7 linked regions of the Macaca fascicularis genome follow. The main gene of each other region encodes a partner of the protein of the gene in region 4 in a complex. Links are inferred from orthologs where the notes say so. Each region holds a gene or a part of one and is shown on either strand. Other genes may lie near its edges.

Region 1 (2,120 bases), on a different chromosome or scaffold from region 4:
ATATTTTTAGTAGAGATGGGGTTTCACTGTGTTAGCCAGGATGGTCTCGATTTCCTGACTTCGTGATCTGCCCGCCTCAGCCTCCCAAAGTGCTGGGATTACAGGCTTGATACACCGCGCCCAGCCGACCAGTAACCATTTTTAAATGGGATTTTTTATATTGTTAATTACTGTTAAGAATAACTTTGCTGCTATTGCTCCACAGGGCTGACCAATTTGAATATGTAATGTATGGAAAAGTGTACAGGATTGAGGGAGACGAAACTTCTACTGAAGCAGCAACACGCCTGTAAGTTACATAATCTTATGAGGTTCTTTTCCCTCTCTGTGTTCTGAGACTTTGAGCTATGCTCCTGCTTCCTCTGTTGGGTCCCTCTCCTCAGGCACCTCAGACCTAGGTAGGAACTAGAAAGAAATGGTTCTGAGAGCAGTTTCCAGTCTGAAAGGTAGACTGCTCTTTGTCAGGCCCTCCTGGCCCAGCAGTCCAGATGAGAAACTGGTTATCTTACTGTGTAAAGTGCAAAGGAGACTTGCTTCTCCAGAAACAAATGCAGCATTAAGTGATTATCCTATTAGGCTGTGTGTGTGTGTGTGTGTGTGTGTGTGTGTGTGTGTGTGTGTGTGTGTGTGTTTTGCTACTCTGTAACCCAATCCCTAGTTCCTTGGTTTTCCTGTCCAGCTATTTTTTCTTTTCTTTAAAATCTTATTAAAACAATATGTGCTTTTTGTAAGCAATTTGAAATGCAGAAGAGTAATGTGAAGAAGGAAAAAAAAAAGTCACCTGTAATTCCATACCCAGAGATAACCTTTTACATAGACTTTTTTGCATATCCTGGTGTTCTGTTTTTTCCTTTGAGACTGTGGTGTTTATTATGTTTTCTTCTGCTCTTTTTGCTTAACATTATGTAAAATATGTTTCCCCATGTTAGTGTGAAGCTTTTCTTAAATGTTTTAATAGTTGCATAACATTTCAGTAAGTGGATACATCTTGATTCATTTGACCATTCCCCTGATTTGGGGCATATAGGTGTTTTCCACCTTCGCTAATATAAAGAACAGTGCCTTGCACATATCTTGATCTTTGTCAGAATTTTGGTTCCTAGTGACAAAACAGTAGAAAGATGCCTCTTCTTTTTCTTAGGCTGAGATGGAGAGCTGCTGAGTAGCAGTGCTCCAGACTCATGGGATGGGGCCTTCTGTTTCAGCTCTGCCTATGTGTCCTATGGGGGCCTGCTCATGAGGCTGCAGGGGGATGCCAACAACCTGCATGGATTCGAGGTGGATTCCAGAGTTTATCTCCTGATGAAGAAGCTAGCCTTCTGAACCTCGCCAGAAGCCAGCCTTGCTGCCTAGTCACTCAGGTCATCGGCATTGTTCAAGCCTGAGTGGCAGCCAGTCTTGCTCACCTGTTGAGGAGGGGCTGGCTCACTGTCCACTGTGGTGGCATCTTTAACTGGCCTGCACTCAAAGGGAAACTGACTCGCCTGTGAAAGACAGTGGGAAAGCTGCAAATGAATCAGAAGCTTTGTGTATATGATTTTTAAATTAAACTTTACTTTTTCAGACTGCCCCTCCCCTTTTTGTAAAAAGTTCATTTACTGTAAAATCATTTTTTTGCAATTTGTCTGTGGTGTACTGTTTCTGGCCCACAGCCAGCTGATCACTTGTCAATGTAGGATCTATTCCAGCCTTTTGGTATCTGGGTTCAGGGTTATCTCAGTCTCCTGGCTGACTGTTCTCAACATTTATCCTCCAATGCGGTTTTCCGTTTGGGAGAGAGTGTTGTACTTTTGGCTCCTGAGGGTACCCCAGGCCCAGAAGATACCACCCATTTGGCGCGGAATTTTGAATTGGCAAGGAGCCCTGCTCGGGTCCTTCCAGCACTTTCAGGCTCTTAGGAAGTCAGTTCACGCTGACTTGATTGAGTCGCTTGCATAGTCTAGAAATGTTCATTATTTTTATGGAAGATGTGCACAGAGGCTTTTAGCCTTTTAGGCATGGGAGATGACTATGAAGAGAGTAGGAGGAGAGGACTTGGTGGTTCTGGAAGCAGCTGGAGGAGCTGGCTCTCTACATTCCAGTGGGAGGGAGGGTAAGTGGAAGTGGACAGGGCAGCAATA
Region 2 (3,500 bases), about 65 Mb from region 4:
CCCGTATGTAAGGCTTTTGTCATCTCTTCTGTGTGGTTGCACTTAAAGATCCGTTTGTTTTTGTGGATAGAGAACAGTGTTGTATACTGTTTTGATTCTTTTTGTAGGTTTATCATTTTTTCATTTGCGTTCTGAATCTATTGTATCTGTTAAAGCTGAAGAAAAACCCTTTTAAAGGTAATAGACCTATCTAGAAGGCCAGTTTCTTCCAGTGGCCCATGAAGATATCTTTGGACAAGGATGCTGTTGAAACCCTTCCCCAACCACAAAATTATTGACCATAGGACTTGACTAGGATGCATCAGGGAATACTGAAGTCCACCAGACTGTCTTTCTTTTGGGAGATGTTGGTGAACGTGTCCTGTTTGGCCAGTCACCCTAAGAGGGTGCCTTTGAGATGGTTAGGAGAACCTGCTTTCCATCCCTTGGGACGTCCTTAGGGGCTCACCTGTTCCTAGAAGGTCAGAGCTGCTCTGCCTTGTAATTGGAAGCTTGTCTTCCTACGCACCCATCCATATCCTTCCTTTCTTTGCTTTTCCTCTGTGCCCATGGGTATTATTTAAAGAAACATATGAACTTAGCGTGGTTTGTAATGAAAGGCAGTTGTGTGTTTTTATGTTTTCTGGTTTTTTTATGAAATATGAAGTTGACTTGAATTTTTCTTTTCTCTAGTACTGTAAAATCGTGCCTAGATCTTTTGGTTAACTGGCTGCACATATACCTTAATAACCAGGATTCAGGAACAAAGGCATTCTGCGATGTTGCTCTCCATGGTCCATTTTACTCAGCCTGCCAAGCTGTGTTCTACACCTTTGTTTTCAGACACAAGCAGCTTTTGAGCGGAAACCTGAAAGAAGGTCGGTGTTGTGGGAGTGCGGGACTGGATTTTCCTTGGGTTCTTGTCACCCTTTAGAATGGTGATTCTTTACTTTTTTGAGATTTTTATTAAAAACTCTGGATTCAGAAAACTGCATGTACACTCAAACTTTTAATAATCATTTCAAGCAGCTCATAGGCCCCTGCAAACCCCTTAAGATGGATTTGAGGTTAAGAAAGAGGTTTCTGCTTTTGAAGGTTTAAAATGTGAAGATGTCTGCAGAGGTGAGGCTGAGCCCTGGGCTGTGCCAGCGCCCTGTACAAAGCTTCAGGTGGATGCACCTTCTCTTTGTTGTCCTTGTAACAGCCCAGTAAATGGCAGGTGTTCTCCCTTTACAGACAGCACCAAAGCACAGGGGAGTCATTTTCCCAAGATCACATGGTTATTGGCAGGATTAGAAAACTGAAGGCAGGTTCAGCTGAGCCTAAAGTTTGGGTTTATATAGATTAAACTCTGCCTGAAGCCTTGAGACTTAATTCACCAGTATTGCTTTGCTAATTTCTAATAGTTACTTATAATTCAAATCTGTCAGTTGGAACTTACTAGATTAGTGTATTTTAGTTGAAGAGAGTCTCCAAGAACAGTGTTTATAAGTCATTGTAAATTGTTCTGTTTATGTTTATGAATAATTCACATGGTTTTGTGGGCCACTTCCTCTCAAGCGAGGTCCCTCAACCTCACACGATTGACATTTGGGTGCATCATCCTTCATCGTCGGGGGTTGTCCTCTGCACTGTAGGATGTTTAACAGCCTCTGCCTACTAGCTGCCAACAGCAGTCCCCGACCACCCCCAGCTGTGACAACTAAAACTATCTCCCAAAATTGCCATGTGTCCTCTGCGGCGGACATAGTCTCCTTGGGTTAACAGCCAGAGCTCTAAACTGAAAGTTGTATGTGTTGCATTATATATATTTACCTACATTCTACATGCTTCTGAAAAGATGTTGTATGAACTAGTCGGATGAGGTTTTATCACAAGGTTAGTAAATATAAGCTCTGCTTTTCTTCGTATAAATTAATGCCAGGAATCTGAATTGAAGATCTTGTTTTTGTAAGCTGTGACATCCCATTTAGGTAATTTTTATCAAAATATGCATCAAAGAAACTCCTGAGAAAATACACTTAAGTACAAGTTGGTCAGCTTGCCTGTTAAAATAAATGTGATGTCTTTCTTTTACTCACGTAGGAGAGAATTATATTCATTAAGAAAGTGGTTTCTGTCTAAATTTGCCTTCTGTTGAGGTAGAAGGCACATTTGGAGTTCTCTTGTTTGGAAAAAAAAAAAAACAAAAAAAACTACAAATGACTACTGTGTACCTGAAAACAGCGCTCAGCTTCACTAATGAGACGTGCAAGCTAGAATCAAATTGTTGTTTTGTTTTGTTGCCTGTCATGATCGTTAGCTGAAACCAAATCACAAGGTGTTTTTCCCCTCTGTATTAACTCAGCATATACTGAGCTTACAAACGTGTGAACTTCCAGTTGTCATGGAATCTTACAGCCTGCTACTTCCTGAGTTTTCTTTAGAGAAGCTGCCTTGGTGATCAATGAATGTGGTTAGCCTAGTGATACTCTTCTGGGCCATACACTGTGTGATTATCTGCATGGACCTTTATTTAAAGCATTTCTGCAAATAATTAAGTTTTTTTTTTTAATGTGTGATAATTTGTGCTATTAAAGATATCTTACACTTTTCACTTACATTTGTACCTCTAAAAAAATTTTTTTTTTTAACCAAAGGTTTGCGGTATCTTCAGAGTCTGAATTTTGAGCGGATAGTGATGAGCCAGCTAAATCCCCTGAAGGTTTGCCTGCCCTCAGTGGTTAACTTTTTTGCTGCAATCACAAAGTAAGTTATTTACTTTCTTGATGGGAGTTATTTAAAATATTTTTATTTATGTTTATCTAGTATTGTAAGAGTCTGTTAAATTTCTGTGAAATTAGTAACATTATAAAAGGCCAGGCGTGGTGGCTGACACCTATAATCTCAACATTTTGGGAGGCTGAGGTGGGAGGATTGCTTGAGGCCAGAAGTTAAAGACCAGCCTGAGCAACATCGTGAGACCCTGTCTCTACAAAACATTTTAAAAAATTAGCTGGGTGTGGTGGCCTGTGCCTGTAGTCCCCACTACTCAGGAAACTGAGGTAGGAGGATCACTTGATCCCAGGAGGTCAAGGATGCCGTGAGCCATGATTATACCACTGCACTCCAGTCTGGGCTCCAGAATGAGGCCCTGTCTCTTAAACAAAAACAACCCAGTCCTTGCAGGAAATATTGTAATACAGCTATTGTTTTTGTACTTTAATGGCATTGGAAATTGCTGCTACTTCTTATCCAAAGGGCATAATTCAGCAGAAGCCTAGGCACTTTGAAATAAGTAAGGCAGCCAGTAAGCTGAGAGGGGCAAAGCCATAGATGCTTATTAGAGTGACTCCTGTAATAGTAACAGAAATAAACTGGACGTGAGGCAAATGTTGACCAGTAAGAGATTGGTTTAGAGAGTACTGTTCTCTCAGGTCTGGTAGCTATGGTTAATTCATAGCCTTTCCTCTGTGCCAGGCAGTTCTCAGCACTTTACGTAGAACTCATTTGATCCTCAACCCTGTAGGATGAAACCCTGT
Region 3 (4,242 bases), on a different chromosome or scaffold from region 4:
AGTGTTTTTCAAATTAAAAAGAGAAAATTGAGAAGGGTAGAATTTCAAGTTCCATTTTCAAAGGAGACACACAGATAAGTGAGAATAAAAACTGTCTACGACAATCAGCTCAACAACACATCTCCCTTTGTCAGACAGAATAACAAGCAATTTCACAGTTAAGTGATAGGGCTTGTCACTCTTCAGCAGTTTGCTGAGTTTTAACCCTTTAACTATGGTGTTCTCTCCATTATCACAGAGAAAGGCAGATGGGAGCCTCTCCCAGCGAAAAGACTACAGCTTGTGTCCTTCACAGGACAAAATAGTGATGGCTCCAGAACTTTCATATGAAGGAACTTAGCACAGCTATCAGAGTGGGTGGTGGTGGGAGGACTAGCATGAAACTAGTAAACAACGACAAGCTGCCCCTTCAGGGAAAGTTTCTACTTCGAATATAAGTTACAGAGTAACGAAAATAGCAAGATTTCCGAAAGAAACTTATTCCCATGTTTTATAAAAGATCAGGGAAATGTCAGCTGTCCACTTAATGGATGACGAATAATGAATTAAGAGTTCGATAAGCGGCAGGCACAACTAAAAGCCAAACTCGACCTAAGTCTTATGAAATCCTACTTAATGAGCTTCTTGACTACTGCTAGCCTCACTTATCTGGCAGGAGTCGAAGGAGGGGAAGCCCCAAGCTCTTCTGTTCTACCACCTCCAAAGTCCTGAGCCCCTTCTCAAGTGTCCCACTTCATCCCTGCTTCCTTTCGTCCCGTGGGACTAAGGATTCCTCTGGCCTTCACCCTCACCACTTGCTGTCCCTCAAGAAGCCGACTCACCCCTTTCCAAGCGCGGTGAACCGTCCGCAAAGCACAGGCCGGCTGCGCTCTGCAGAAAGCCCACGCTCGCCAGCGGGACCCAAGGAACGCTAGAACTATACATGCCAGAACACTTAGCTTTGTTTTTAACTACTGTGCAGCCGCAAAAGGGAAATACCAGCTCAGGACCCAGGGGAGTTGTAGTTCTCTAATCCAAAGAAGTCATTATTCAGCAAAGTACGGTTTTCAGGAGGATATTCCCCCGCGATTGGGTTCCCGTAGGATGTGAAACAGAGAATAAATATCCCAGGATTCGGTGCTGGTGGGAAAATTTGCTGGAAGCGCAGCATTGGTTACCAATTTTGTGCTCAACGTCTCAGTACCAGCCTGAAAGTTGAGCCCCAACCTCCCTTAGAAGAGGTGACTCTCCATCTCTAAGGCTTCCGAGACACGGTTCGCAATTAATTATGACGTCACAGCCAATCGTCAGCGTGAAAGCGTGACGCTCTAGCCGGCTCTAGCTCGCTGCCCCGCCGCGGGCGCAGAGCTGGCGCTCTAGCCCACGGAGTTGGCCAGCTCCTCTCGCCGGCCCCAGGAAAGGGTTCCAAGTCCTTTTAGTACCCGACGCTGTCTGGGAGTTCCGGGCGTTTCGGCTCCTTGGTCGCAGAGGCAGGAGGCGTGCGTGGGAGGAGGACTCGGGTTATATACTCCTACGTCCTGGGACGGAATAGTTACCAACTCTGGGGCAGGAACTCTTCTCTCTTTTGTTAATAAACTTCTAACTCCCTCCTCAGACCCGACTGCATGTCTGTCATGGACCTCGCCGGTACTTGCTCCAGCTTTCAGTCGGACTTGGATTTCTGTTCAGATTGCGGCTCGGTCCTGCCTCTGCCCGGGGCTCAGGATACGGTCACCTGTACTCGCTGTGGCTTCAACATCAACGTTCGGGGTGAGAGGCTTGTACACAGGGGTCCTGGCGGAGGGCCCAGGATCGGAAGCTTGGGGAACTCAAGATAGGTTGGGTTCAGAAGGGGATCCTAGAGCAGGACATCAGGCAGTTGTACATTTGGTCCAGCGATGAAAACTGAGGGAAAGGATATAGGGCCTCCTGGCCTAACCAGCCAGGGGAGAGGGGAAGTTTCCGGTGTCAGCTCCCTCAGGTTGTCTCCATAACCAGTCTTACTTGCCTGTGCAGACTTTGAGGGGAAGGTTGTGAAGACTTCAGTTGTGTTCCACCAACTGGGGACAGCCATGCCTATGTCGGTGGAGGAAGGGCCTGAGTGCCAGGGACCTGTGGTAAGTTAATGAGATCAAGAACTGGCTCCATAAGGTGGGTAGGAAAGAAATGGAGGAGTGATTGCAGAGATCTGGAGAGTTTTGTGCCCAATTCCAAGTGGGAAAAGATGTAAAGCATCGATGTTTGAGAGGCGTGATCGCCTGGTTCCTGTGGGAAGTAAGGGTATGATATGACCAGGCCTCCATAACCCACCAGTTTCTTCCCAGGTTGACAGGCGCTGCCCTCGATGTGGTCATGAAGGAATGGCATACCACACCAGACAGATGCGTTCAGCCGATGAAGGGCAAACTGTCTTCTACACCTGTACCAACTGCAAGTGGGTATCCTTTCCCCTCCCTTTGCTCAGTCTGTTTGCTAACTAATAAACAAATCCAGTGATTTATTTTTTTGTACTAAACGGCTGTGTCCTTTCGTCCCATCCCTTATTTCTGTGCAGTTCTGGTAAGAGGGAGATTTGTAGTTTTTATTTTTTTAAATTACACTTTTTTAACCCTTTTTGTAACCAGTGAAATAAACCTTTTAGGTTTTTGTTTTGTTTTTTTTTTTTTTTTTTAAATGGACAGGGTGTTGCTCTGTCACCTAGCCTGGAGTGCAGTGAGGCAATCTTGGCTCACTGCAACCTCCGCCTCCTGGGCTCAGGTAATCCTCCCACCTCAGCCTCCAAAATAGCTTTGGGACCACAGGCACGTGCCACCACACCTGGCTTTTTGTTTTGTTTTGTTTTTTGTATTTTTAGTAGAGATAGGGTTTCTCTCTGTTTCCCAGGCTGGTCTTGAACTCCTGAGCTCAATCAACCCACCTCAGCATCCCAAAGTGCTGGGGATTACAGGCATGAGCCACCCTGCCTGACCTTCTTTTAGGATATTTAAAAGGAAATGAAGAAAAAAAACCATAAGAAGCAAGTATTGTTTAGTGGTCAGCGTCTTATACTGCAGTCTTCAACCGCAGTCAAGGTAGCTTTACTTTGGAGAGAATTAGTCACACATGATTTAGAGAACATGGGCTTTCTGAATGCTTTTAAGACCTCATCTTTGTCTTTGGTGTTCTGCAGTCACTATAGTATATCAAAATGTGATTTTCTTTTATTCTGTTTGGGATTTGTTGGACTTTCTGAAACTGAGAGTGCATTGTTGTTTTTTGTTTTGTTTTGTTTTTTTGAGACGGAGTCTCGCTCTGTCTCCCAGGCTGGAGTCCAGTGGTGTGTTCTCGGCTCACTGCAAGCTCCGCCTCCCGGGTTCACGCCATTCTCCTGCCTCAGCCTCCTGAATAGCTGGGACTACAGGTGCCCCCCACCACGCCCGGCTAATTTTTTGTGTTTTTTAGTAGAGACGAGATTTCACTGTGTTAGCCAGGATGATCTCGATCTCCTGACCTCGTGATCCACCCGCCTCGGCCTCCCCAAGTGCTGGGATTACAGGCGTGAGCCACTACGCCCAGCCTAGAGTGGATTTTTTTTTCATCAACCTTGGAAAATTATCAGCCATCATCTCTTTTAATATTCTCTTTCCCCCATGTTCTCAGTCCTCACATTCTGGACCTCTAATTAGTTACTAGAATGAGATTTCTCTCTTCTGTCCTCCATTTCTCTCGCCCTCTTTTCATATTTTCAATCGCTTTTCTCTTTATGCCACCTTCTGAGTAATTTCTTCAGGTTCCTCTTCCATGTCACTAGTTCTGTCTTCAGTTTATTTCAAATATTATTATTTTTTACTATTGTTATTATTTTGAGTTCTATTTAATTACTTTTCAAATCTCAATTTTTAAATAATTCTCAGTTCCTTAATCATATTTTAAATTGTTCCTTTTACTAGTCTTTAAATATATAAAATATTAAATATAGTTATTATATTCTATGTCTCATAATTCTGATATCCATGGATTTTGTGTGTCTGATGCTGCTGTCTGTTTCTGCTGTCTCTCTCATAGTGCTTTTTTCTTTGTTTTGTAATTTTTGACAATAAATTTGAGTTTTTTAGAACTTGAACTGTAGGAATTCTTTGAGGCCTTGGGTAAGTGCTGTATTCTCAGCATTTGTGTTTCTTTTCTAGGTGCCTTGAAGCACTATCAAGCTGGAATTACTTTAAATAAATTCTTGGCTTCATGTTTTTTGGAGCACACAGATAGTATGAATTTGAGCTGCAAATC
Region 4 (4,047 bases):
GCCAAGGAACACAGGCAGCTTCCCGAAGCCAGAAAGGGCAACACAGTGGACTCTTCCTTAGAACCTCCCAAAAGGAACACAGCCCTGCTGACACTTTTAGTCCAGGTAAAAACTTCCAGAAAAAAAATATATAGGCCAGGCACGGTGGCTCATCCTGTAATCCCAGCACTTTGGGAGGCCAAGGCAGGCGGACCACTTGAGGTCAGGAGTTCGAGCAGCTTGACCAACATGGTGAAACCCCACCTCTACTAAAAATACAAAAATTAGCCGGGCATGGTGCTGCAGGCCTGTAATCCCAGCCACTCGGGAAGCTGAGGCAGGAGAATTGCTTGAACCCAGGAGGCAGAGGTTGCAGTGAGCCGAGGTCACGCCTCTGCACTCTAGCCTCCATCTCAAAAAAATAAATAAATAAAGATACAGATGACAGCTGAGAATTTGGAAATTGATTATTTGAAGCAACGGTTCTCAAAGTATGGCCCCTGGACCAGCACCATCTGGGAACTTGCTAGAAATGCAGACTCTTGGGCCACATCCCAGACCTACTGAATTAGCAAATCGGGGGGCAGAGGTAGGGTGGAGCCCAGCATACTTATAACAAGTCCCCCAGGTGGTTCTAAGGCTCACTCAAGTTTGAGAACTACTATGTTAGGATAATGGTAAGGTTTATGACTGGACAGCGGTTCTTACAGCATGTGCCCCAGATATGCAGTATCAGCATCACCTGGGAACTTAGGCAAATTATCAGGCCCCACCCCAGACTCACCGAATTGGAGACTGTGTTTTAACAAGCCCCCCAGGTGCTAATGCTGACGCACACTAGCTAGAGTTTGAGGACCACTGCCTAAAGCTCTCCCTGCACGACCACCCCTGGAAAAGCCTCACTCTTAGGAGGTATTTGTACCCTTATTTGTGAAGCCCGCTTCTTGGGATTTAAGGACAATCAGTAGGATACCTACTGACTAATACAGTGTCTGGCTTATAGTAGGTGCTCCGTGAGAGTTCGTTAAATGATTAATTTAATACAACGCTGAGGAAATTGATGAAGCAGATGTGGGATTCGAACCTAAGTCCACCCGGCCTCCACTATTGGAACTCGAGGGAGCTTTATTTCCGCAGCCCACGCGCCGCCTGCACGCCCGTTCCCTCTCCTCCCGGGAGGGGGCGCGCCAGGACCCTAAGAGGCCTGGCTGGGAGGTGGGACTTCCTGCCTCACCAGCAGGCACTTCCGGTCCAAACCGGAAGACCGTGAGTAGCTGCGGCGGGGCTGACCCATCCTGAGTGCCAAAGCTGGGGTTCTGCTTAATATTTCCCTCGTGGTGTCAGGGTCCGGCGAGCATCACGCCGAAGCCCATTTTCCAGACGACCACGACGAGACCGGGGTCACGTAAGTGCATGCGCCCCCTCCGCGCGGACTGGGCATGTTCGAGAGGAGTGGACCCGCAGATGTAGGAGGGGAGGGACTCCCTCAATCCCCCGTCCCCGCGGCTGGCTCACGTTTCGCAGTCCCCGGCCTGTCGTTAGTGCGGACCCGACTGAGTCCTGTAGCCTGGGAGGTCTAAAGGGGCCTGGAGAGCCCGCAGCGAGGGCGGGAAGCCGGCCGGGGATGTCGAGGCTGCCTTGTCTGAGGGCTTCTGTGGGGTCGTGCGCTCCACCAGCCCTCTCCGCCTGCCTAGGATCGTTTCAGGCTATGCGGTTCCAAGAGAAAATATTTTTGTTTCTATTTTATTTTTGAGATAGAGTCTTGCTCTGTCGCCCAGACTGGAGTGCTGTGGCATGATCCCAGCTCACTGCAACCTCTACCTCCCAGATTCAAGCGATTCTCGTGCCCCAGCCTCCTCAGTAGCTGCGATTACAGGTGTGCACCACCACGCCCTGCTAATTTTTGTATTTTTAGTAGAGACAAGGTTTTACTATATTGGCCGGGCTGGTCTCAAACTTCTGGCCTCAGGTGATCCACCCGCCTTGGCCTCTCCAAGTGCGGGGATTACAGGCGGGAGCCACCGCACTCGGCCGAAGGGAAAAGATTTTTGTTTCGCGAGACTCTTAATGCTAGCGTTTGCATTTGGGTGCATGCGAGAGCAGTGGTTCAGAGCTCTGCCTCTGAATCGGATGGGAATCAAGTCTTGGATGTGGCAGCTAAGAGCTGTTGAACTAAAGTTCTTGCTGAGCCTTGGTTTCCTGAACTCCGTGACAGGGGCTGCGGTAGAAGAGTGCAGCATTTAGCTTGCGCCTGGCAGATAGATGCTGGCGCTTGGTCAGTGAGAGCTGCTGTTATTTTTGCCCCTGTTTTGTTTTGTTAATTAAAAAGGAGGGATGCTATGGCTGCTCATACTTCTAGAGGACTGTATTTACCAAAGCCTTGTGATATAATTTTTTTTTCTCGAGATGGAGTTTCGCTCTTGTTGCCCAGGCTGCAGTGCAATGGCGCGATCTCAGCTCACTGCAACTTCCGCCTCCCGGCTTCAAGGAAATCTCCTGCCTCAGCCTCCCGAGTAACTGGGATTACAGGCATGCGTCACCACTCCTGGCTAATTTTGTATTTTTAGTAGAGACCAGGTTACTCCATGTTGGTCAGGCCAGTCTCGAACTCCCGACCTCAGGTGATCCACCCGCCTTGGCCTCCCAAAGTGCTAGGATTACCGGCATGAGCCACCGTGCCCGGCCTCTTGTGATAGAAATTTATTTTTATTCAACCCGTAGTGCATTTTCTGGGAGGCACTGTGGTTGACAGTAGGAAGACAATGCTGAGATGCAGTCCGTGGCTGTGGAGTAACTCCAGCGTCTTGGGGGTGTAGTCTGTAAATGTATGATGACGTTTTGAGCTGTGAGAGAGGCTGCCCCTTGCCGTCTATCTGACTCCATCTCTACCGCTCTCCACCTCGCTCACTCTGGCTGCCTCGTTTCTCACACACTTCACTGCTCTAGGATTTTCCCAGTTGTTGATCGTTTTGCCTGGAACCCTCTCCCCATTTGTGTACGTGGTTCTCTCCTTCACTGGGTTCAGGCTGTGCTCAAACGCCACCTTCTCAACGAGGCTTTTCCTGGCTGGCTTTGCTGAAACCGTGCCCTCAGCCCATTACCAGATCCCCTTCTCCTGGACGGGTGGTTTGCTTTAATGCAGTTCTCATTACTGCTTGGCATTGGGCTACATATTTGTTTTTTGTTACCTGCTTCCTCAAAGAGCATGTGCTTCCCATCATGCACTTTTCTCTCCGCAGGAACCCTGGCGCCCCTTACCAGCTTCCAGTCTCTCGAGGTGGCCAGTGTGGTGCTTGGTCCTTATTTCCGGGATGGACTTCCCCCACTCCCTCCGCCCCGCGTTGTTCATGACTGGACCCCTTGGTCTGAGCGACATCGCTGACCTCTCTTTCACGTGCAGCTGGCAACATGCGCTGACTCTGCCGGAGACCCAGCCCCAGAACTCAGAGGTGAGGATGGAGGCAGGGGCCCTGGCAGCTCCAGGGGCACCCCTTCCTGGGTCCCCTGTCTCACATTCATACCGGTTGAAAGGCCACAGAGTGGGGTGCCATTCACACAAGTCTGCTGAGACACAGGCTGTGCCACCTCCTCTGGGGCACGTGGGCTACCCTGCCATCCCTAGACGGATGCCCCCACTATGCCAGATGCCATGTGAGACCCTGGAAATGCTGCCTGAATCAGTCGGTTGACCCCTTCCTTCCTGGAACGGAGAGCTGAGTTGAGCGAGAATAAACAAGTGAACTTTATCCAACGGATAAGGTGTTTACAAAATGTGATCAGAGCTTGGAATGAAACCAGAAGGATGCTGAAACAGCGTAGTAGGATTGGGAGAGGGGAGGATAGACCTGCCAGGGTTTCTGGTGCCTCTGGAGGGACACTGGCCCTTTGCTTAGAATCCTCAGCCCCCTAGTTCCCCTTGGAAACACCCTGTCTAGGAATGAGGCCTGGCAGAGGCAAATGGATGAGCAAATAAAAAGAGAGTGGAGTTGGGGCTTGGGGAACAGGGGTCAGGGATGGCTTCCTTATGAGGGAAGGTCTGACATGAAATTGGGGCTCCTCGAGGAGTCT
Region 5 (3,500 bases), on a different chromosome or scaffold from region 4:
GCCCAGGCTGGAGTGCAGTGGCCGGATCTCAGCTCACTGCAAGCTCTGCCTCCCGGGTTTTTACGCCATTCTCCTGCCTCAGCCTCCCGAGTAGCCGGGACTACAGGCGCCCGCCACCTCGCCCGGCTAGTTTTTGTATTTTTTAGTAGAGACGGGGTTTCACGGTGTTAGCCAGGATGGTCTCGAACTCCTGACCTCGTGATCTGCCCGTCTCGGCCTCCCAAAGTGCTGGGATTACAGGCTTGAGCCACCGCGCCCGGCCAGATGTTTACTAGTTCTTAAGAGCTCCCTCCATTTGTGCAGGAGATGAAGACGGCACAGAGATAGATACCCTACGGTTTCGTCTCCAAGTCAGATGCACTCGGAACCCCCATGCTGCTAAAGATTCCTCTGACCCCAACGAACTGTATGTGAACCACAAAGGTAAGTAGTGGTAGGGTGAGGAAGAGGCCCCACCTGTGGGTGGCTGCTAGTTTTAGGAACTGAAATCTTTTGACATGTTTTTCCTCCAGTGTATACCAGGCATATGACATGGATCCCCCTGGGGAATCAGGCTGATCTTTTCCCAGAGGGCACTATCCGACCAGTGCACGATGACATCCTCATTGCTCAGCTGCGGCCTGGCCAAGAAATTGACCTGCTTATGCACTGTGTCAAGGGCATTGGTGAGAACCCTGTGTTCCTTCCTGGGAAGAGGGGTAGTTTGGTTGCAGTGGGGCAAGCTGACTAGGGAACTCAGCTGAGATATTCCTAGCAGGTAGAAAGCCAAGAGCATCGTGCTTTTGCTGTTAGCAGCTTAGGAAGAGTATTCTTCCTAATCCTAGAAGGGTTTCGTATAGGCACTTTCTCTCTTCCTCTCCAGGCAAAGATCATGCCAAGTTTTCACCAGTGGCAACAGCCAGTTATAGGCTCCTGCCAGACATCACCCTGCTTGAGCCCGTGGAAGGGGAGGCAGCTGAGGAGTTGAGCAGGTGCTTCTCACCTGGTGTTATTGAGGTGCAGGAAGTCCAAGGTATGGTATTTGGGGTGCTGTTCAGGTTAGGACCTAAATTATATTTTCTTTGAAGGTGACAGAAATAAAAACCCTGGGTTCCTAAAAGTATAACATGGTTTGCTACCAAGGGGCAAATTAGAAAAAAGAATAAAAAAACGTGGTTTGTTCTCATTAGGTAAAAAGGTGGCCAGAGTTGCCAACCCCCGGCTGGATACCTTCAGCAGAGAAATCTTCCGGCATGAGAAGCTAAAGAAGGTTGTGAGGCTTGCCCGGGTTCGAGATCATTATATCTGTGAGTATGAAGTGGTGAGATGAGTGGGCAGTACTCTTTGGTGCTGCAGCTTCCTTCCAGTCTAGATGTGAAGTTTGAGTAACAGGGGCTTTCTACAGGCAAGCCCCGCCTAGGCTAAAGTGTCTCTTTGATCCCCAGTCTCTGTTGAGTCAACGGGGGTGTTGCCACCAGATGTGCTGGTGAGTGAAGCCATCAAAGTACTGATGGGGAAGTGCCGGCGCTTCTTGGATGAACTAGATGCGGTTCAGATGGACTGAGCTTGGATGTTCCTGAGGCAAGCTGAAGCTTTGGGTTCTGACTGACCCACCCTACAGGACTGCTGTACAGAGAGCCCAGTGTGACTAGGGATCCTGAGTTTTCTGGGACAATTCCAGCTTTATTTTTAATCAATACATTTTGTTAAATGTGCCATAAAATGAGACTTTTAGGCCTTTGTAAGGCCTTAGATGTAAATAAACTCATGTCCAAACAAAACTTTTTGAGACAACTTTTATATTTTTTGAGACAGAGTCTCACTCTGTTGCCCAGGCTGGAGTGCAATGGTGCAATCTCTGCTCACTGCAACCTCCTCCTCCTGGGTTCAAGCAATTCTCTTGCCTCAGCCTCCTGAGTAGCTGGGACTACAGGTGTGTACCACCACGCCTGGCTATGTGTAATTTTTTGTATTTTTAGTAGAGAGAGGGTTTCACCATATTGGTCAGACTGGTCTCAAACTCCTGACCTCAAGTGATCTGTCTGCCTTGGGGCCTCCCAAAGTGTTGGGATTACAGGTGTGAGCCACTGCGAAAAACAGGGCCTCACTTCAGAACTGGTTTGACCTTTAGCAATTAAGAACATCAGATGTACACTCCAGCCTGGGTAACAGTGAGACCCTGTCTCAAAAACAACAAAAAACACCTCCTGAGAATTGGCAAATTAAGGTGGTTTCTGGGAGTACAGCCAAACCCCTAGAAAAACATTCAAGCTAGAGTGAATGCACCATTTCACCTGTCTCCCGGATTACCAGGGAAGTTCATGCCGCTATTGACAGCTCCAACAAAGAACAGTAGCAATTCCTTTGGGCCAGGCCCAGCAGCCACATATGAAAGACACTGTGAGAATGGTATGGGCTGCCTAGTCTGGGTGTGTCAGGATAGAAATCCTTTTCTAACTGGCACACCATTTCAGAAAGCTTGAAAGACCAGGTTCATCAGTCACATTTCTTCCTGTTCAGTCCCCTTTTGCAGGGTGCTCATGGAGTAACTCTGGAGTATGTCACTGGTTTTAAGACTAGGTTGAAAAAGGCAGATGGGTCCCTTTCTGTATGAAACTGAGACTTTTACTGACATGCAGATGTGCTTTGGAGTTAATGTTTCTACAAAAAGTTTCTATAAACAATAGAAAACTTCTAGCATGAAGTCACAGGATGTTAAAAATATTACAACACAATAAATACAACTACACCCTCCACAGCCCCAACCATACAGGAATAGGCAGCTATCAGGTTTGGAGGGAAACACTATTGAGATCGCCTTCACAATCCACAGGAACCCAGAGCACCACACGGGAAGAGGGAGCAACATGAGACTCCAACTTCTGCTTCCTCAGCTTTGCCTCTTCCCAATCTGACCCTGCCTCTGGTCCACACCAGCTAAAAACTATAGCTTCAGTCCACTTCGGCTCTCATGGAAACCCTCTTGTCAGTGGATTGGTGGACAACAGGTCTGTTTTTGTGCAGAGCACATGGACACACTGGTTTCTGTATGGATTAAGTCTGCCTTTATGGCCAGTAATAATGTCAGGGCCAGGTCCCATATCCGAGTCCTGTTTATAGGGCCTTTCAGTGACCTCTAGAATGGACTCACAGTACAGGTTGTGATGCGAAGGCATGTATTCTTTTCTTTTGGAGATGGTCTTTGAGAAAAGTAACCAGGGACCTGAAAGACCATGAGATTGCGGAAGGCACCTGGTCTTAGTCCTAGAAGACCAGTGGCTTTGCTAGCTGCTTATCACAGATATAGCCTAGTTGGTCTGTTTTATCCTTGGATGACAATGGTGTCATGTGACACTCTCTAGGGTACTGTGGCTCTTGTGCCTGAGTGGACCTTGAGGCTGGGGAAGCCAAACTGAGGGGTCATTCATGGAAGGGCAAGATGTGTGAGCTCTAAAGGGGATGTTAGCACTAAAGACTGCCCAGCCCTGGTCCTTGGAGGTACTATACTTGACACTGTGCCA
Region 6 (3,500 bases), on a different chromosome or scaffold from region 4:
GTGATATTAAATGCAGTGTCAGTGCCAGAGAATATGCAGAAATGACATGTGGCACTTCCAGTGCTGTCTTCTGGAAGAATAGTTAGGTCTTCCAAGCGTGAGTGTTCAAACACTGGTACTTTAAAGAGCTGGGTTATCAAGAGTCAATGGCTAATGTGTTGACTCGGGGGCCTGCTGGAAAAGGTATACCGTGATTAAGTGACCTGTGTACATCTTCCAGGTTTTCTTCCAAATATCAAATACAGGAGAGAACGTATTTCAAACATTCTCTTAGGTGTTTTCAGTGGTTTCTGAACCACCCATAGGAAGCACTGATGGTGTATAGTCTTTTTTTCTTTTATTTTTAGTTGACATGCAATAACTACATATTTATGGGGTATGCAGTGATATTTCCATGTATGTAAATAATGTATAATGATCAAATCAGAGTAGTTAACACATTCATCACCTCAAACATGTATCTTTTTTTGTGTTGTGGACGTTCAAAATCCCCTCTTCTAGCTTTTTGAAAATAAACAATAAGGCTGGGCATGGTGGCTCACGCCTGTAATCCCAACACTTTGGAAGCCGAGGCAAGAGGATTGCTTGAGCCCAGGAGTTTGAGACCAGCCTAGGCAACAAAGTGAGACCCCCATCTCTACAAAAAAAATTTAAAAATTAGCCGAGCATGGTGGCACATACCTATGGTCCCACCTACTCAGGAGGTTGAGGCGGGAGGATCCCTTGAACCTAGGAGGTTGAGGCTGCAGTGAGAAAATATACAACAAATATAGTTAACTTATTCAACCTGCAGTGCTGCAGAATACCAGAACTCAGTCCTCCAGTCTAGCTGTAATTTTGCAATTGCAGGCTGCCTTAACCATTTCAGTGAGTGTTGGCAGCATAGACTAAGATGGGCTGTGTAGTTCGTGTGATTGCTTTTAGGTGTGGACTGTGTAGTTCGTGTGATTGCTTTCAGGTATGGGCTGTGTAGTTCGTGTGATTGCTTTTAGGTGTGTAACAAATATAACGGGTGAAGGAGGGCATGACATTGAAGAGCTATCCTTTCTGCACCTGAAAAGCTCTCCTTCAGGTTTTTGGTTTTGCTGTATTCCATATCCAGTGTATGTTAGTGGACCTTTGTTAAAGGTTGTACAGATTACATGGGAATAAATATGACGTTTGTAATAATTTTATTTTATTGAGAATAGGGTCTTGCCCTGTTTCCCAGGCTGGAGTGCAGTGGCACAATCGTGGCTCCCTGAAGCCTTAGGCTCCTGGACTCAAGCGATCCTTCTGCCTCATCCTCCCAAGTAGCTGGAACTACAGGCATGCCCCACCCCTCACCCCACCCCCTTCTGGCGAATTTTTAAATTTTTTGTAGAGACAGGGTTTTGTTTCACCATTTTGCCCAGTCTCATGTTGAACTCTTGGTCTCAAGCGATCCACCCAATCCTGGGATTATAGATGTGAGCCACCACACCTAGCTCACATACTATTTTATATTAATTTTTTGTTTTTCTTATTTCAGGAAAAACTGGAAGGTTGGTTAGTGTCTATTAAAATAGCTTTTGATAAGAAGGCTCAGAAGACCAATGTTTCCATGAACACTGACAATTTGATGAGGATTTTTACTATGGGAATAGACCTTACAAAACCATTTGAATACCTTTTTGCTACTGGGAATCTGCGTTCTAAAACAGGTAAAATTAAATAGAGCATTTTAGTTATGTTTTTCAAACTATTTGCTTAATGTAGATTTGCCTGTCCTTGACAGGTTCTTTTTAAAAGCAAACCCCCCCAAAAAAGTAAATTTCTCGTAACTATGACTTTGATGACTATTGATCTGAAGGACTTTAGACAAGGTGTCTGTATAGCTAAAATTTAATTCAAATAACCAAATACATTTTCTCTGCCTCCTTCTAGAAAATGAAAAGACCACTTAGACCTCTGAGGAAGGCTTACCTAATAGGAATTCTGCATGGGTTGCTGTACATGCCCATCTCTAAACCAGTTGCCTTGCCTCAGAGTGACCTGAGAGGCCAGGTGTGGTGGCTCATGCCTGTAATCCCAGCACTTTGGGAGGCCAAGGTAGGAGGGTGGCTTGACTAGGAGGTCAAGGCTGCAGTGAGCTGTGATTGCACCACTGCACTCCAGCCTGGTGACAGAGTGAGACCCTGTCTCAGCAAAAAAGAGAATGACCCTGGAAACTTAAAAAGTGGTAATTGGGAACCCAGAAATTTTTTTTTTTTCTTTTTTTGTGAGTCAGGGCCTCACTGTGTCACCCAGTCTAGAGTGCAGTGGCAGAATCATGGCTCACTGCAGCCTTGACCTCCCGGGCTCAGGTGATCCTCCCACCTCAGCCCCACTAGTAGCTGTGACTACAGGCACAAGCCACCACACCTGGCTAATTTTTGTGTTTTTTGTAGAGATGGGGTTTTGCTGTGCTGCTAAGGCTGGTCTGGAACTCTTAAGCTCTGGCGAACTACCCACCTCGCCCTCTTGAAGTGCTGGGATTATAGCATTAGCCACTGTGCCCAGCCTTTTTTTTTTTTTTTTTTTAAAACCCCTGTTACTGATGCCGATTCTTTCATTAGCCTTCTTACTTGCTTGTCTATTATCTGACCCTCTCAGATGAATTTAACTACTTGCTATTTTATTAACTCATTTAATGTTCTCCTACAAAGGAGGTCATAGAGGAGATAGGGAACTAGTTGGGGCTCATACAGTTTGTGAAATCTGGGGATTATTTTACATATTTTTTGCGAACTCTTTCCACTCATCAGAGCTAGGAGAATAAATGTTGTAATAATTCATTCTGTAATCTGTAGAGTGCTCTGAGGTTTTGTCGTCACAAAGCCTCAAAAATTTCCGTTTTTTAAAAGATTGGCCCATTTTTGAGTGACTTTTGTTTTATTAAGGTCTTGGCCTCCTACAAAATTCTGGACTTTGTGTTGTGGCTGACAAGCTGAACTTCATACGCTACCTCTCCCATTTCCGCTGCGTGCACAGAGGGGCTGATTTTGCCAAGATGAGGACCACCACAGTACGCCGGCTGCTGCCAGAGTCCTGGGGCTTCCTTTGTCCAGTGCATACCCCAGACGGGGAGCCCTGTGGCCTGATGAACCACCTAACTGCCGTATGTGAGGTTGTCACACAGTTTGTGTATACGGCATCTATTCCGGCTTTACTCTGCAACTTGGGTATGTAGTGTATAGTGATAAACATCTTGCTTGATTTTTTTTTTGTTTTTTGTGTTTTTTTTGAGATGGAGTCTCGCTCTGTTGCCCATGCTGGAGTGTAGTGGCACGATCTCTGCTCACTGCAAGCTCCGCCCCCTGGGTTCACGCCATTCTCCTGCCTCAGCCTCCCAAGTAGCTGGGACTACAGGCACCCGCCACCACGCCCAGCTAATTTTTTTGTATTTGTAGTAGAGACGGGGTTTCACCATGTTAGCCACGATGGTCTCGATCTCCTGACCTCGTGATGTGCCTGCCTCGGCCTCCCAAAGTGCTGGGATT
Region 7 (4,131 bases), on a different chromosome or scaffold from region 4:
CATACCAGTCCTGGAGCTTAGTCACTGCCCAGCCCCTGTGGATCAAATGCAGTGTCAGACTTTTTATCCCCGAAATTGTCCAATCTATGGAGCAAAGGAGGGTAAAGAGACCAGATTACTTTTAAGGCACGCGCTATCCTAAAATGATGTAAACTATAAAATAAGATTAGACAGCTTTACTGGTTTTTGCGGTGTATCATATGAAAACAGAAGTTTGAAACCAGAAAAATCAAACCAGTTCAATCCTTTTAAAAATTTCTTTGGGAGGCCGGTGGCTCACGCCTGTAATCCCAGCACTTTGGGAGGCCGAGGCGGGTGGATCACCTGAGGTCAGGAGTTCGAGACCAGCCTGACCAACATGGAGAAACCCCGTGTCTCCTAAAAGTACAAAAAAATTAGCAGGGCATGGTGGCACATGCCTGTAATCTCAGCTACTTGGGAGGCTGAGGCAGGAGAATCGCTTGAACCCGGGAAGCGGAGCTTGCGGTGAGCCAAGATCGCGCCATTGCACTCCAGCCTGGGCAACAAGAGCGAAACTCGGTCTCAAAAAAACCCCAAAAAACCGAAAAACAAAAAAAAAAAACAAAAAACTTTCGAAGAAAAAAACCCCACCAAAACTAAACTAGTTTACACAGCTTAATCTTAACTCAGGAACTGGTCAAGGAACTAATGGTGGGGGGCGGGGGGGATGTAGGAGGAAACTGAGGAAAAAGAAATCCTCCACAGGTCTCACTTGTGACGTGTTAGCCAATTCCTGGGAGGCAGAAAGGGTGAGCTCCCGAAACAGGTGCAAAGGTGGGGAGGAGACCTGGGCGTGCTACGGCATAACACTGGCGTCCAGCACAAAGGTTACAAACTTCGAGTAACCTTCCCGAATATTTTCACACACAAGGGTTTTGAAGGCAAAAGTAGACACAGGATGACAAAACACTCATTCACACATCCCACCCGTCACCCTCACCACATACTCGGGACCAGGTTTAGAAAGCCGGGAGACAGCTCAGCAAACGCGAGACCACCGGAAACGACCCGGGCTGAGAGGCTGTTTCCTCGCAGTTCTCATCCACTCACAATTGGCCGCACATTTTCTTTTTGTTATTTGCCGAAATGTTCTTGGCTATTCCACTTACCGAATCGGTCACGCAAGCAAAACACCAGAATCCCGATCTCCGCCTACGCCAACCCCGCCTCCTCAGAGTAAGCGAGCTACAGCTCCGCCCACGTTAGTCGCTCCTCCCTGCGCGGCGAGAAAAATGGCGCCCCCGCGTCGCGACTCCTCCCACCGCTCGCCTTCTTCCCGGGAGCTAAATTGTATCGCGAGATTTCTGCCTGACTATTACTTGGGCCGCGGGGATATCCCACCCTTTTCTTCCGCGCGGTTGGAGGACATCGGCTAGTTTTCCGGAGTTGGAGGACTGAAATCGGGAGGGTGGTGTGTGCAAATCTCCAGGACTCACGCACCAGGCCAGTCGCAGGTTTTGGCCCGAGGCCTGGGTTACGGGCAGCAAGTGCGCGGTTGGGGCCGGTGTGAGGCGGTTTTAGGTAGGTTGCCAAGAGGGCAAGGCCGTCTGGGCTTGTTGGGCAGGGGAGGCATTGCATATCTGGGGTTTCGGCCCCTGCGTTGTTCCGGAGGATTGAGCCTCGGAAGTCGGGCCGAGAGGGTGAAGGGATCACGGTTGCAGGCCACTCCGCGCCACGCGGCTGGTATGAGGCCCACAAACGTGGTTGTAGTGTGGGCGGGCTTCATTATATCTTGAGATGGAGGTGTTAAAACGTGTTGCAGACAAGTTTAACCTTCTTAACGTAATTTAAATGATTTAACCTTCATATGTGAGGTACCCATTGATAGCGCCGGTTTCCTGGAGGTTAGGCGCTGCCCGGAGAGACGCGCTGGTGGTCACAGAATTAGCTCCGGGTAAAGCGCCGCTTTCTGCCCACGTGGCCTCTAAGAATTGCAGAATTCCAGCGGATGCATCGACACCCAAGTAGGAGTGTCTTCTAAACACTAAGAAAAAAGTGATTCTTGAGCTAGCTTTATTTTGATAATCCCTACTTTAAAAAAAAATTAACCACAGGTATACCATTAATGCATGGGGCCAAATTTTTGTTGAATTCCGTTTTTGAGCATTCGATATATAATGACTTCGTAGAATCCTGTACTTAAGCTAATAAGACGTACTACCAGAAAATTACCACAGGGGTCCATTGGGCATTTAACAAATCTGAGCTCTTGGTAACCTTATCGTTTTATATTTTAAATGTTTTGCTAGTTCATCCTAGGATTTATATGCAATGACTCATGTTAGGTCCCAAGAAGCTACAGAATGAGACAAGAGATTGACTAAGGCAAGTACAATAGTGAAATAAGTAGTTATCCTTCATTTTTGTTGCCATGCCTATTTTTTTTTTTTTTTTTTTTTTTTTCTGAGACAGGGTCTTGTTCTGTCGTCCAGGCTGGGGTGCAGTGGTGCAATCTCGGCTCACTGCAACCTCCACCTCTGCTCAAGCGATCCTCCCGAGTGGCTGGGAGCACAGGCACGGGTCACCACACCTAGCCAGTATCTTAAGAATTTTTTGTAGAGACAAGGGTCTCCTTGTGTGCTGAGGCTCACTACATACAACTTCCACCTCCCAGGCTCAGGTATTCACCTACCTCAGCCTCCTGACCACAGGCGCGCGCCACTAGCCCGGCTAATTTTTGTATTTTTTGTAGAGACGGAGTTTCACCACGTTGCCCAGGTTGGTCTTGAGCTCCTGGGCTCGAGCGATCCGCCCGCCTCGACCTCCCAAAGTGCTGTGTTACACAGGCCTGAGCCACCCAGACCAACCTGTTTTTTCTTTTAGCTCACAAGAAGGAATCTTTTTTTTCTTCTTTTTTTGGCATGTTGTATACTCTACCATGGGGATGAAAACACAAAGAATTATGATAGTTTATTGAAAAAGGTTGAGAATTCAGAACTTGTCAGTTTCCACCAATAATGGCAAAGATACAGTATGACAAAGTTCAGTTACTTAAATGAATCTAGGAATGAAGAATCTAGGAATTATAATGGAGAGGTGATCAGGGTCTGTTGATTGGAGATCCTTTTCCTGGTTTATATAGGGCACATTTTGCCTTAGGAATTCCCTCTTTGATCTTGGAAAATGGTTTTTAATTTTACATTAATACTGTATTGGTAATTGCACGTTAGTAAGTGGCTAATGATAAAACTGTATTTTCTACTTATATTGAAAGATGCTTTTTTTGGAAGTGACAGTACTTTTTTGGAATCTTGTTCCATTGAATACATTTAGAGGGTAAAAACTGAAAGAACCTGTGAATAGAATTTCTGGATTTCTTTTTAAAGAAATTGATCTGAAATGGATAAGAAGGTTAACCCCGGCAAATGATTTTGCCTAAAATCAGTGGCATAGTCTGACCATGTTGAATATTATAGTAGATACTGTGTCAATATTTAGGGAAGCTTTGTCACATTTACTAAATTTCATAATTTCAGAAAACTGTTATAAAACAAAGCAATTGATGGATAAATCAGGAATAGATTCTACCGACCATGTGACATCTGATGCTATGGAACTTGCAAATCAAAGGTAAGTGGGTTTTTACTGGAGAACTGAGTGGATTCAATCATATTTATTGTATCTGAATTATGAGAAATTATTTTATATAATGAGTGACAGTAAAGATGATTTTCAGGAATTGGGAAAGAAGGAAAACCAGATTTCACTGACCTTCCAGGTTTATCTAGTTAATGTAGATTGATAATAGCATTGCAAATACTTTAAATTCAAAATGTGAATATATTATAATGGGACACATTCTTCAAGAAAAAAATGTATTCTTTGGGTCATATTAGCATCTCTTCCAGACTACCTCTTCCTGTTTCTGTCTGGTAGGCTGTGTTTGTTTTACTCACTCTTAGCAGTGAACCAAACCATACAGCCTTTGTGGAGCTCATACACCATACAGCCTTTGTGGAGCCATACGTTATCTTAAAAGATACATAGTTTTTTGCTAAGCTGAGCACAGTGGTGCATGCCATTAGTCCTAGCTAGCTACTTGGGAGGCTGAGTCAGGAGCATCCCTGGAGTTCCAGGAGTTTGAGGTTGCAGTGAGCTGTGATTGCACCA

What was found.
Region 1: TAF1C (region 4) and POLR2H share a complex: the UniProt entries of both Homo sapiens proteins name them as parts of the pol I pre-initiation complex. The link is inferred for Macaca fascicularis from reciprocal best matches to the Homo sapiens genes TAF1C and POLR2H.
Region 2: TAF1C (region 4) and RRN3 share a complex: the UniProt entries of both Homo sapiens proteins name them as parts of the pol I pre-initiation complex. The link is inferred for Macaca fascicularis from reciprocal best matches to the Homo sapiens genes TAF1C and RRN3.
Region 3: TAF1C (region 4) and POLR1H share a complex: the UniProt entries of both Homo sapiens proteins name them as parts of the pol I pre-initiation complex. The link is inferred for Macaca fascicularis from reciprocal best matches to the Homo sapiens genes TAF1C and POLR1H.
Region 5: TAF1C (region 4) and POLR1C share a complex: the UniProt entries of both Homo sapiens proteins name them as parts of the pol I pre-initiation complex. The link is inferred for Macaca fascicularis from reciprocal best matches to the Homo sapiens genes TAF1C and POLR1C.
Region 6: TAF1C (region 4) and POLR1B share a complex: the UniProt entries of both Homo sapiens proteins name them as parts of the pol I pre-initiation complex. The link is inferred for Macaca fascicularis from reciprocal best matches to the Homo sapiens genes TAF1C and POLR1B.
Region 7: TAF1C (region 4) and TAF1D share a complex: the UniProt entries of both Homo sapiens proteins name them as parts of the transcription factor SL1/TIF-IB complex. The link is inferred for Macaca fascicularis from reciprocal best matches to the Homo sapiens genes TAF1C and TAF1D.

The regions. Positions count from the first base shown.
Region 1 is NC_088376.1:96,289,922-96,292,041, forward strand, and holds the end of POLR2H (DNA-directed RNA polymerases I, II, and III subunit RPABC3), read left to right. Parts: intron 1-205; coding exon 206-289; intron 290-1,205; coding exon 1,206-1,323; 3' UTR 1,324-1,620; downstream 1,621-2,120. UniProt on the Homo sapiens protein: DNA-dependent RNA polymerase catalyzes the transcription of DNA into RNA using the four ribonucleoside triphosphates as substrates.
Region 2 is NC_088394.1:15,521,041-15,524,540, forward strand, and holds part of RRN3 (RNA polymerase I-specific transcription initiation factor RRN3), read left to right. Parts: intron 1-672; coding exon 673-857; intron 858-2,618; coding exon 2,619-2,727; intron 2,728-3,500. UniProt on the Homo sapiens protein: Required for efficient transcription initiation by RNA polymerase I (Pol I). Required for the formation of the competent pre-initiation complex (PIC).
Region 3 is NC_088378.1:142,602,755-142,606,996, reverse strand, and holds the start of POLR1H (DNA-directed RNA polymerase I subunit RPA12), read left to right. Parts: upstream 1-1,442; 5' UTR 1,443-1,469; exon of another isoform or gene 1,470-1,478; intron 1,479-1,594; 5' UTR 1,595-1,604; coding exon 1,605-1,749; intron 1,750-1,995; coding exon 1,996-2,096; intron 2,097-2,303; coding exon 2,304-2,413; intron 2,414-4,242. UniProt on the Homo sapiens protein: Core component of RNA polymerase I (Pol I), a DNA-dependent RNA polymerase which synthesizes ribosomal RNA precursors using the four ribonucleoside triphosphates as substrates. Can mediate Pol I proofreading of the nascent RNA transcript.
Region 4 is NC_088394.1:80,062,751-80,066,797, reverse strand, and holds the start of TAF1C (TATA box-binding protein-associated factor RNA polymerase I subunit C), read left to right. Parts: upstream 1-1,247; 5' UTR 1,248-1,384; intron 1,385-1,737; 5' UTR 1,738-1,855; intron 1,856-2,385; exon of another isoform or gene 2,386-2,600; intron 2,601-2,700; exon of another isoform or gene 2,701-2,804; intron 2,805-3,218; 5' UTR 3,219-3,290; coding exon 3,291-3,428; intron 3,429-4,047. UniProt on the Homo sapiens protein: Component of the transcription factor SL1/TIF-IB complex, which is involved in the assembly of the PIC (pre-initiation complex) during RNA polymerase I-dependent transcription.
Region 5 is NC_088378.1:128,000,112-128,003,611, reverse strand, and holds part of POLR1C (DNA-directed RNA polymerases I and III subunit RPAC1), read left to right. Parts: intron 1-303; coding exon 304-423; intron 424-512; coding exon 513-665; intron 666-862; coding exon 863-1,012; intron 1,013-1,169; coding exon 1,170-1,286; intron 1,287-1,424; coding exon of another isoform or gene 1,425-1,543; exon of another isoform or gene 1,544-1,760; intron 1,761-2,582; exon of another isoform or gene 2,583-3,500. UniProt on the Homo sapiens protein: DNA-dependent RNA polymerase catalyzes the transcription of DNA into RNA using the four ribonucleoside triphosphates as substrates.
Region 6 is NC_088387.1:19,552,894-19,556,393, forward strand, and holds part of POLR1B (DNA-directed RNA polymerase I subunit RPA2), read left to right. Parts: intron 1-1,510; coding exon 1,511-1,682; intron 1,683-2,900; coding exon 2,901-3,182; intron 3,183-3,500. UniProt on the Homo sapiens protein: Catalytic core component of RNA polymerase I (Pol I), a DNA-dependent RNA polymerase which synthesizes ribosomal RNA precursors using the four ribonucleoside triphosphates as substrates.
Region 7 is NC_088388.1:92,775,366-92,779,496, reverse strand, and holds the start of TAF1D (TATA box-binding protein-associated factor RNA polymerase I subunit D), read left to right. Parts: upstream 1-1,331; 5' UTR 1,332-1,542; intron 1,543-2,270; exon of another isoform or gene 2,271-2,346; intron 2,347-3,497; 5' UTR 3,498-3,523; coding exon 3,524-3,591; intron 3,592-4,131. UniProt on the Homo sapiens protein: Component of the transcription factor SL1/TIF-IB complex, which is involved in the assembly of the PIC (preinitiation complex) during RNA polymerase I-dependent transcription.